Linked DNA regions of Drosophila melanogaster. Changing the gene in region 2 together with the main gene of any one other region gives a genetic interaction. Each region holds a gene or a part of one and is shown on either strand. Other genes may lie near its edges.

Region 1 (4,990 bases), on a different chromosome or scaffold from region 2:
AGTGATGGGAAGTGCTGCCTCCGAGTTCAGATCTTCATCAGAGGAGACCTCATCGTTGTGTGGCCACAAACAGCTCCTGGACTCGCACTTCAGCAGCTGCTCCTCGAGATTAATGTAAAAGTAGCGCAGCTTGTGATTCCTGCCTTCACTCTGGCACTCCAGACACTCGTCTCCCGGCTGCAGTCGCTGCATTCTCAACGACGATTGTGGTGGTCCTTGGTTTGCCCGGCCGAAAAACTCAGAGGTTTCCCCCAGAATGCGCATGCTGTTTCTGCCGTTTGGCTGCCTGGTTTAATGTGCGTGTGCTCACCTGACCGAAGGTTAAACGGAAAGCGTACAGGCCGAGATTGCTTGTTTTCATGGTCCGTTCCAGTTCCAAATCGAGCAAATCGGGACCTGCAACAGTAGTAGACACGGTATCCGGTTATTCGAGCTTACATAACATCAATTGATTTTTCCCCGACTGCGTGCGCTTTGCTCTTGTTCGCTCATTGCTGGCGTTCTTTATCACTTACGTTTCGTTTGGCAATGGGAACTTTAGTGCTCGGCGCTCTCTGATTAACCGCGATTGCAGGTGCAGCCGATTAAACCAGCAACGTTGCTAAAATTTGGCGAGCAAATGAAAACCAAGAAAACTAAACGATCTAGAACTCATGTGAGTAGCGGGCAAGTGCGAAAGGGACTCGAGATTAGAGATGGGACTTCGAGTGGCTGCGATAGTATCGATCTACGGAGCACTTGCCTGCTGCGAGAGATAGCAGGGGTATTTTTTATTTTTATGCTTCATATTGTTAAGAAATCAACGAAAACTTTGAGCGTTAAAAAGAAGTTTCCTTACTTCAAATTCTTGTTGCATTTCCAACGCTTTCAGAATTTGAAACTTTGGAAATGTAACATCTTTAAAGTTGATGGGAGTACACATGCAAAAATATTGCGGGATCATTAAAAATACGAAAAGGTATTTTTCAGACCAAGCACACTTTTTTCTTTTCATGATATGTGTCCAATAGACAACTTGTCGGTGAAATGGTAGTTAAAAACCTTTATAGTGGAAAATATAAATTAAAGAATATCAGATTAAAACCCAAAGGGCAAAACGGTGTGACCGTTTTAGAAGCGAATTTAAATTTTGCGCTCAAATGTCAATGTTGCCACACCAACAGAAATCTGTATTCGAAATAATTTTACTGATTCTTTAAATTGGTAAATTATTTCAGGCCCAGCAACCTGCGACAAAGCCATCCCAAGAAAATATAAATTGAACGAGTAACCTAACAAAAAGTTTCTGTCAGCTGTTTTATATCGAAAAAAGTGCTGTTTTCCAACACTTCGTTTGCAGTCAGACAAGTTATCATTTCATAATTCGCAAAAGGAGCTAAATTCAATATCCGTACGAAATGAAGCTATCCGAGGGAGTTAAGGATCGTTTGGGATTTGTGGTTGGAGTCGTCCAGACTGGATTCCACTGGGGATTCGTGCCTCTTGTGCTGTATTTGGGTAAGTTGTGGTTCATGTTTTTTGTAATCTACACGCGGCTGGGAAGAAGAAGCAGCGGGGTAATATCAAATGGACCGACATTGATTTTGACCAATTCTCATTTTCGCAGGATTTATGAAGGGAGCTGAGCCTGGCATGCCGCCTCTGAACCTTTTCAGTCTGTTATGGCAGTAAAAATAGTGGACATGATCATTTTGCTGTCGTATGCCCCGCATTTTGGTTCTGGTTGGGTTTCTGGGAACGGGTGCAGTACCTGCAGCTATTGCAAATAAATATCTGTTACAAAACAAATCGAAATTTTTTTATGTATCCTGGAAACAACCAATATTTTAACAAAAATCATTGTCCATAAAAACATAACCGATTGGGCATTTTTACGCACTTCTCTAGCGGGTGGGTGTTTTTCATGGGCAGTCCAGCCTGGGCACACTACTGCAGGTGCGGTCACACTGTTTGCAAATCCACACACACCAGCGCGGTTTTTCGCTGCACAAAATTGTACATTTAAGAAAAAATAGCAGCAATTAATATAAACAAACGGTTGCCCCAGACACCCGAAAGTGCCGGCTGTCCCGCGGAATATGAAATAGTGCCACTTCCCCCGCGCCACTGCCCCAATCACGTGATGAAAATCCGCCTGAAAAGTCGCCCTCGTCCGTGAAATGTAAAGCAGAGCAGAGCAGTTTTTCCAACCAACTTGTGCGGAGTGTGGAGTTCGAGTTTCGCATTGCGGGCCCCCATCGAGATTCGCTAATTGTGAGAATCGCCAGTCTATATTCCCGGCCATGCCCCCGCCAAATGTGGGAATTCGCGGGCGCCTGTCCTACGCGATAAATGCGCAGTTCGGGGCCAATTAGTGGCTGTCTGAGGTGTCCTCCTGCCGCTCCTCCTGCTCCTGCGGCCCCGCCTCGTCCTGCCGCGAAACAACAATCTCATTTGCAGGCCACAGACTTTGAACTTGCGACGCGCGTGTGCGTGCGTGCGATCGTGGAAAACAAAAGAAAAGCTCTCGGGCTGCACAAACAATAACAATAGCTCGGGTCGGGTCGCACACACTATCGTCGGTGCGAATAGCCAACATGTTATCTGCGCTCCGGCTAATCTTCCTGGGCGCTCTGCTCGGCGCCTCTGTTTGCGGTGAGTGTACCCCCCAGCGGTTCCATTAATCTGGATCAGGTGCGAAACTAACCTAAAATCTCCCCCGGTGCAGCCTCCCCCATTGAGTTCGTAATGGACACCAGCCTAAATGGCTCTCGATCTGATCCTGCGACTGCAACCCACCCTGGCAAATGGCCACCGACGACCAAAGCGCCGGCGCTCAGGGCTCCAGCTGGAACAGCTGGACATGCTTATCAGTCGCCATCGTCGTCGCTGGCCGCTGATAACAGAAGCCACGACAACAACAACGCTAGCGCCGTGTCCATGCTGCTGCCGCAAGACGGCGACGCATCTGGAGCTGTGGCCCCTGCTGTTACTCCCCAGCTGCCCATCTACATTGCTCAGCCTAGCGCGAAAAAGCCAGAAAGTAAGTTCCGATTGCCTAACGAGAGTGTAGAGCACACTGCGGACAATGCACCCCGAATTATCTAAACAACAAGAATGTGATAGATTTACAGACTTGTTCCGGTATTGCCTTGCAAACATTTTACTTGACTTCAGTTAACCAGGAAAGTCAGCACAGAGTAAAGGTCATTTTACTTCCCTTTTTTAAGGTGAAATCCATTATTGGGAGAAGATAGAAACCGCTTAGTGGTTATACCTTACTTGTCCGATATATTGACATTTTTGTTGTTGTTGTTTAATAATTAAAATATCTTACCAAGGGTTACTTAATACTTGGCGATCTTTTCGATGCCATAGGGATCTTTTCTCCGTGTGTATATCGCGTGACTGTAACACCTCAAAGACTCTGAACGCTTCTAAAAGGCCGTCTTCGTCTGCGCCTGAGGCTCCGATTCCGTTCCCATATAGTGACGTCACCTCTCCGTGGTGTCAATGAGCTGAGCCAGACAGCTCTCATGGCCCACTCCAACGCTGCCTGGCTGCAGACACCCCCACGTCTGGATGCATTTGCTTGCTGCACTTGGGCACTTGCAACTGCAGTCGGTGCAAAAAAAAGCAGGCCTAAGCACTGGCACTGGCTTCTCGCTGTCCGGGGGAAGGGGAAACTGGTCGCATTGTCTGGCCCTCCACTTTGCACTTGTCTTCTCCGCGTCTGCTTTGTTAATGCTAAATGGTTTTGTTTTTGTTTCATCACGCTCTCGGCGGTGTCGGTGGCGGTAGATGTGGATATGGTAGTGGCTATGGATGTCTATGTGACTGTCTGGGCGAGCGTGTGCCCGGCCAGGTGCCCCGGGGGCATGGTTATGGCAAATCCCAATTTGTGGTCAGGAGATGCCAATCAGCGAGTGGTTGATTTATGGGTCTCTTATTTCTCTAATTAGTTAATTTCTGCCAGCGCCTAATTGATTGATTTGCTTCAATCGGAGTCGGGGCATTTTCTTAATTCGAGAAGTTTGCTACTGCTAACCTATGCTTTTGCGTTTTATTTGTTTAAATAATAAGAAAATCATTAACCGTGGCAAATGAGGCGCGGACCTCTTCCTTTGCTTACCTTTCCACAAGTAATTAATATTCATTAAATATTACAAGAAACACGTGCTTGGTTAGGATCACCTACAAATAGTGAAGATATATCGTTAAGCGAAGAATAAGTTTTTGTTGGTGAGTCGGTTTAAAGTTAACAAATTTTTGGTAGGAATGTATGGATTTGATAGTACTCTAAAGTTTGGTTTTTTGCAAATAGATCTTTATATTAATTTTACCTTTTATGTTCTGCAGACAAGATAAAATGCCACTGTGACACGTGCAAGGAATCGAACAATATATGTGAAACGGACGGCTTTTGTTTCACGTCCGTGGAGAAGAACTCTGATGGGAGCATCATCTTCAGCTACAGGTGAGTGCCGAGAGCCTGAGGAGCAGGCCTTTGATTAGGTTAGCACTTGCCCCTCAGAGCAGCCAGTGTGAATATGTCTGATACGATCGATCTATCGAGCGATGCAGATGTCTGCACAAGTCTCAAATCTTTCCGCCGGGCCGCTCCATCTGGTGTAACGACGGGCTGCACGGCGGACCAACCGCCCGCCCAGTGGGTCGCAATGGCGCCCACGCCTGCTGCAAGGACAGGGACTTCTGCAACCGATTTCTGTGGCCAAAGACGAAGGACCAGAGGAGTGATCGTGTCGAAGAAGGGCGGCAAATCTCCGTCCAAGGTGCGTGCGCTTATGCACGTGTTTCGCTCCCAAAAACCCCTCCTCTCTGACTGCTCCCATTTCTCTGTTCACTCGCACGCCGTTCAACAACCAGTTGCCCAGTTTTGATCGTTCTTTGGACTGTTTCCCCCACTTATGCTCGTTGAGTTGAAGTTTTGAAATGATCATAACCCCAAATGCAGAGCACTACTAATGATGACCTGCTGAAAACCAGAGCG
Region 2 (7,006 bases):
CCTTTTTGTACTTGCGCTTAAACTCCTCGGCAAAGTGGTTAACCAATCGGTTGTCGAAGTCCTCGCCACCCAGATGTGTGTCTCCCGCAGTCGAGCGCACCTCAAACAGGGATCCCTCGTCAATGGTCAAGATGGAGACGTCAAAAGTACCACCGCCCAAATCGAAAATCAGCACATTGCGCTCTCCCTTCAGATTCTTGTCCAGGCCGTAGGCCAGAGCCGCCGCTGTTGGCTCGTTGATGATGCGGAGCACATTGATGCCAGCGATGGCACCAGCATCCTTTGTTGCCTGGCGCTGGGAGTCGTTGAAGTAGGCCGGCACTGTGATGACAGCGTCCTTCACTGTAGTGCCCAGGTAGGCTTCTGCAGTCTCCTTCATTTTGGTGAGTACCATCGAGCTAATCTCCTCGGGAGAGAAGCACTTATTCGCGCCCTTGAACTCCACGCTTATCTTTGGTTTGCCGTTGTCGTTGATCACTTTGAACGGCCAGTGCTTAATGTCCTCCTGGATCTTGGAATCGTCGAAACGACGCCCAATCAGGCGTTTGGCATCGAACACAGAGTTCTTGGGGTTCATGGCCACCTGGTTCTTGGCGGCATCTCCAATAAGGCGTTCCGAGTCGGTGAAGGCCACGTACGATGGTGTGGTACGGTTACCCTGGTCGTTGGCAATGATCTCCACTTTTCCGTACTGGAAGACTCCCACGCAGGAGTATGTGGTGCCCAAATCGATTCCAATGGCTGGCATCTTGGCTATTTCTGTTGCTTTTTAGTTTGAACTTGGGTGCGTTTTCTTGTGGATAGTTTTCAATAATTTGTATGCTTCTTTGCGTTTTGCTTTTCTATTTTTTCACTTGGTAAAGACGTTTCAGTTTTCAACTGTCACTCTGAACTGCTTTTTATTTTTCGTTTGCTGAAGTGTTTTCACTTTGGCTGTTTGATTTCAAATGTAGCGTCTGGGAAATTTGCGCCCGTATTTATACTCAGTCGCCGGGAGGGGAAAATTCGAGATTTCCCTGCGAGAAAGGGTCAGAACATTCCAGTCAGTTCGTGTGTGTGCGAGCGAGTCAACTAGTGTGCACTTCGCAGGGGAAATTGTCAGTTGAAAGGACTGAAAGTTCAGGAAATTTCGAGAAATATATTTTTTTTATTGACATAGGTCATCATTCCAAGTGGTCATTAAACTAAATTCGTATGCAAGCTATTTTTGGCTGATTTGCGGATTGATACGTTAAGCCATTCATATTTTTAGATTCTGTTTTTGGTTTATATCTCTTTTATTATATGTGCAATACATATGTGTGTATTTTTCTTCTGATTGGAATATTTCCTCTGCAGAATATGACATACAATTACCTTAAAAGTTGAACACACTTTTCAAAACTTAATTATTCCAATTAATTATTTCCAAAAATTTAAAGAATCGTACTGCTCTATATCCAGGATACATAAATATATAGATACATATATAGGATGTACATAGATAGGATGTATATAGAATACTTCGTAGATCGATACAATCTTTAATGTGTTTATAAATAGGGAATTTTAAGATGCAAGAGCAAATGAAAAAAATCTCAGCTTGCATTATGAATATACATATGAAAATGTATAGATAATTGTACATATTAATATATATATAGTTCTGATTTCCATGACCTTTTGAAGGGTATTATGAAAAGATCCTGAAATGAAGAACAAGCCATTGGAAAATCTACAGTGATGATTGTTTTAAACCGAAAATGCCTTCGGTTCGCATAAGCCCAAGATTATAAATTATTCATTAGTTTTAAAATGTTTTTGTTTACAAATTGTATTTTGTAAACAAAGACGACCGATAGTAATCGATAGTGGTTAATTTGAAATGAAAATTGTACTATCGCTGATGTATCCCATCGATAGTTTGTTTTCTACGCCTTGCCATCTCTAGCGTCTGATATTGATGGCGTTAGCCGGATACGGTCATACTGTCATAAGAGAAAAAAAATTATTTCGCGCTCATATTGTTATTTTTCTTGGATATTTGTTGCAATCGAGCGTGTGAATGACCGAAGAGGACGACGATGTGGCCCAAAGGGTGGCGACGGCGCCCGTCCGCAAGCCGGACGACGAGACGGCCTTCCTGGAGTACATCGAAATGGAGAACTTCAAGTCCTACCGCGGTCACATAGTTGTGGGTCCTCTGAAGCAATTCAACGCTGTTATTGGGCCCAACGGATCAGGCAAGTCAAACTTCATGGATGCCATCAGTTTCGTGATGGGCGAGAAGACCAGCAGTTTGCGAGTAAAGCGCCTGAACGACCTCATCCATGGCTCCTCCATTGGCAAGCCCGTTTCCCGCAGTTGCTACGTGACCGCCAAATTTGTGCTGAACGAGGAGCGCCACATGGACTTCCAGAGGGCGGTTATCGGCGGCTCCTCGGAATATCGTATCAATGGAGAGGTTCGTATTGACAACCAATCCTCTTATTAGCCAATTAATCATATCCCCCATTTAGAGCGTATCGAGCAGCACGTACTTGAACAAGCTGGAGAAAATTGGCATCAATGTTAAGGCCAAGAACTTTTTAGTATTCCAGGGAGCTGTTGAGAACATAGCCATGAAGACACCCAAGGAACGCACTGCTCTATTTGAGGAAATTAGCGGGTAAATTTTAATTTTTTACCTAAAATCCGGATTTTTTGACCCGTGTTCACTTTTCCAGTTCTGGCCTGCTTAAGGACGACTATAATCGACTTAAACAAGAAATGATTGTTGCCGAGGAGGAGACCCAGTTTACTTACCAAAAGAAGAAGGGCATCGCGGCGGAAAGAAAAGAAGCCAAGCACGAGAAGATGGAAGCTGATCGCTACACTCGCCTGCAAAATGAATACGTATGACTCTTTATTCTGCCAACTCTATCCAATTAGCTACATCTTTTTATTCTAATAGAATGAAAAACAAGTGGAGTATCAATTATTTAGGCTATTCCACGTGGAGAGGGACATCCGGAAGTTTACGAGCGATTTGGAAGTGAGGCAACAGGAAGTTAAAGCAGTCGAACAGCGAAAAGAAGCTGCCGATGAAATCCTGCGCGAAAAGAAGAAAGACGCCGGAAAAATCACCCGAGACCTGGCCAAAATCGATCAGGAAATCAGAGAGTTTGAAACCCAGATGAACAAACGCAGGCCCCTTTACATCAAGGCCAAAGAGAAAGTTACCCACTGCAAGAAGAAGCTCATTTCCCTACAGAAGACTCTGGAAACAGCCAGGGAGGCGGACAATGCCCATCAGTCGGACATACGGAAACTGGAGAAGCAGCTGGCTGATGTGGAGGCCCTGAAAAAACGTTTCGAGGACGAGATCGAGAACGAGTCGCAGCGCCGCGGCAAAAGCGTTAACATGGAAGAGGGCCTTGTGCAAGAGTACGATCGCCTGAAGCAGGAGGCGGAAGCCACAGCTACGCAGTACCGTTCAGAGCTGGACTCAGTAAACCGGGAGCAAAAATCCGAACAGGACACGCTTGATGGGGAGACAAATCGTCGCGCCTCCGTAGAGGAGTCCTTCAAGAAGCTCACATTACAGCGCGAGGAAGCTGTAAAGCGTCGAGACAAACTGATGGATCACATCAAATCATCACAGGCTGCCTTGGAGGAACAGAACCGGATCAAGGACGAGCTCCGGCGAGATGTTGGCACATCCAAGGAGAAGATAGCCGAAAAGCAACGCGAATTGGAGGACGTACGCGATCAACTGGGCGATGCCAAGAGCGACAAGCACGAGGATGCTCGTAGGAAAAAGAAGCAGGAGGTGGTGGAGCTCTTCAAAAAACAGGTTCCCGGAGTGTACGACCGTATGATTAACATGTGTCAGCCGACGCATAAACGCTACAATGTGGCCGTCACCAAAGTTTTGGGCAAGTTCATGGAAGCCATTATTGTGGACACCGAAAAGACGGCTAGACACTGTATTCAGGTGGGTTTCAGTTGATCAACTGGGATTTACATGTAAGCATTGACGATTTTATATGTTCTATAGATCTTGAAGGAGCAAATGCTGGAAGTGGAAACCTTCTTGCCCTTGGACTATCTGCAAGTTAAGCCTCTGAAGGAACGACTTCGTAACATCAGCGACCCGCGGAACGTGCGATTGGTTTTCGATGTACTAAAGTTTGAGCCTCAAGAGATCGAACGGGCTGTGCTCTTCGCCACAGGCAATGCTCTCGTTTGCGAGACTCCCGAGGACGCCATGAAAGTGGCTTACGAGATAGACCGATCACGTTTCGATGCTCTGGCCCTGGACGGAACATTCTACCAGAAATCGGGTCTCATATCTGGCGGTAGTCACGATCTGGCTCGCAAAGCTAAGCGATGGGACGAGAAGCACATGGCTCAGCTGAAAATGCAGAAGGAGCGCCTTCAAGAAGAGCTCAAGGAGCTGGTGAAAAAGTCACGTAAGCAGAGTGAGCTCGCCACTGTGGAGTCGCAGATCAAGGGTCTTGAAAACAGGCTTAAATATAGTATGGTCGATTTGGAGTCCTCCAAGAAGTCAATTAGTCAGTATGACAATCAGTTGCAGCAAGTCCAATCGCAGTTGGACGAATTTGGAGTGAGTTTCCCTTTCAAGTTACAAAATTAAACCTAATTTATAATCTTGTCTATCCCAATTTTGCAGCCCAAGATCCTTGAGATCGAGCGTCGTATGCAAAACCGCGAGGAGCACATCCAGGAAATCAAAGAAAACATGAACAATGTGGAGGACAAAGTATATGCCTCTTTCTGCCGTCGCTTGGGCGTGAAGAACATACGACAATACGAGGAGCGTGAGCTCGTCATGCAGCAAGAGCGAGCGCGTAAACGGGCTGAGTTCGAGCAGCAGATTGATTCCATAAACTCGCAGCTGGACTTCGAGAAACAGAAAGACACTAAAAGTAAGTATACAAAATACTATGCTTTTAAAATGCCAAACAAATGCCTGCCTTCACAGAAAACGTTGAGCGCTGGGAGCGCAGCGTGCAGGATGAGGAAGATGCCCTAGAGGGACTCAAATTGGCTGAGGCACGCTATTTAAAGGAAATCGACGAGGATAAGGAGAAAATGGAAAAATTCAAGCAGGACAAGCAGGCCAAGAAGCAAGCCGTGGATGACATGGAAGAGGACATATCTAAAGCTCGCAAGGATGTGGCAAATTTGGCCAAGGAGATCCATAACGTGGGCAGTCATTTATCTGCGGTAGAGTCTAAGATCGAGGCCAAGAAAAACGAACGTCAGAACATACTGTTGCAAGCAAAAGTAAGTTAAAGTAATTATATGATAACTATTACTCTGTCTTATAATGTATTATTCACTCTGTAGACCGATTGCATCGTGGTACCACTGTTGCGCGGCTCGCTGGACGACGCAGTGCGACAAAGCGATCCGGATGTCCCATCCACCTCTGCAGCGATGGAAAATATGTAAGTTTATTTAATCACAGCATCAAAAACAACTGAACTAAAGTACGTTATTGATTCATTTTCAGTATTGAAGTGGATTATTCATCTCTACCACGAGAGTATACCAAGCTGAAGGATGACTCCGCTTTCAAAAAGACCCACGAAATGCTTCAAAAGGACCTGCAAAGCAAGCTGGACGTCTTGGAGCGCATACAGACACCCAACATGAAAGCACTGCAGAAACTCGATGCTGTAACGGAAAAAGTGCAATCCACCAATGAGGAGTTTGAGAATGCGCGCAAGAAAGCAAAGAGGGCCAAGGCGGCATTTGAACGGGTTAAGAACGAACGCTCCTCGCGATTCGTTGCGTGTTGCCAGCACATATCGGACGCCATTGACGGCATCTACAAGAAATTGGCTCGCAACGAGGCAGCCCAGGCTTATATCGGTCCCGACAATCCTGAGGAACCATATCTGGATGGTATTAACTATAATTGTGTGGCGCCAGGCAAACGTTTCCAACCCATGAACAACTTGAGTGGTGGCGAAAAAACAATAGCAGCCTTGGCTCTGCTCTTCTCGACCCACAGGTATGCAGATATAATATTTTTCCACATTTTGAGAGTAAATATTAATATATTTTTATGCAGCTTTCATCCAGCGCCGTTCTTTGTCCTTGACGAGATTGATGCCGCCTTGGACAACACGAATATTGGCAAAGTCGCTTCGTATATAAGGGATCACACAACCAACCTGCAAACCATCGTCATTTCCCTGAAGGAAGAGTTCTATGGTCATGCTGATGCTCTTGTGGGCATTACGCCTGGGGTACGTACTCAACTGGTGTAAGTTTAGGCAAGCCTAATTTTGGTTTACTCTTGACTTCCAGGAAGGCGACTGTCTCGTATCAAATGTTTACATAATGGACTTGACAACGTTCGAGGACACGTAAAGTTCATATGTCGGATGTATATTAAGTATTAGATGTAACTTTAAAGTAAATCTCGGGATTTCCAATTAATAAAGCCAGTAAATGTGTAGACGTACAATTTTTCAAACTATTCCATTACACACTCTAGTAATTCGAAAATTATACTTACTTCAAAGAAAGATAGGAACCACTTAGATGTTTTGAAAATATGTTCTGCAACTTTAATAGTTTCCTTTATTTAGGCTTGCGTTGGTTGTACTGTACCGGAGAAAGTTAAATGTGTTTGGATGTGTGAAATTATGGTTTGATGGATGGATGCTTTTGGTATATGTAAAACAACTGGGTTTTTGCTTTTAGTTTCAATTTTTAGTTTTTCTCTTTTTTTTTTCTTCACGTAAAAAACTTTTTGTATTTCATCAAGAACAAAAACAAACAATTTGATTATTCAGTTTCGGTTTGTATCATTAATTTAAAATAATCATTGCAAACAGATAAATATTGCATCGGCTAGTTAGTGTGTCAGTTTCATTGATTCATTATTATCTTTTGTGTGTTGGCTGCCTGCCGGCTATGGCGATAATCGATAAGGCTACGATACAAGGGCACGCCTGTGGGAGATTGAGATAAGGTTTGGTAAACTAAAAAAAAAAAAAATAAAATA

What was found. A genetic interaction does not mean that the proteins touch.
Region 1: of SMC1 (region 2) and babo, changing one enhances a phenotype caused by changing the other (phenotypic enhancement), as found in Drosophila melanogaster (one study listed by BioGRID).

What each region holds. Positions count from the first base shown.
Region 1 is NT_033778.4:8,950,396-8,955,385, forward strand, and holds the start of babo (baboon), read left to right. Parts: upstream 1-1,943; 5' UTR 1,944-2,576; coding exon 2,577-2,634; intron 2,635-2,707; coding exon 2,708-3,022; intron 3,023-4,338; coding exon 4,339-4,456; intron 4,457-4,563; coding exon 4,564-4,772; intron 4,773-4,990. Other genes in the region: CG33199 (uncharacterized protein), read right to left, coding at 311-361; CG8229 (uncharacterized protein), read right to left, coding at 1-192; Tom7 (translocase of outer membrane 7), read left to right, coding at 1,398-1,497, 1,607-1,671.
Region 2 is NT_033777.3:24,056,357-24,063,362, forward strand, and holds SMC1 (structural maintenance of chromosomes 1), read left to right. Parts: upstream 1-1,930; 5' UTR 1,931-2,044; coding exon 2,045-2,443; intron 2,444-2,498; coding exon 2,499-2,647; intron 2,648-2,705; coding exon 2,706-2,874; intron 2,875-2,932; coding exon 2,933-3,955; intron 3,956-4,018; coding exon 4,019-4,588; intron 4,589-4,654; coding exon 4,655-4,910; intron 4,911-4,966; coding exon 4,967-5,271; intron 5,272-5,334; coding exon 5,335-5,435; intron 5,436-5,500; coding exon 5,501-6,004; intron 6,005-6,064; coding exon 6,065-6,242; intron 6,243-6,303; coding exon 6,304-6,366; 3' UTR 6,367-6,459; downstream 6,460-7,006. Other genes in the region: Hsp68 (heat shock protein 68), read right to left, coding at 1-748.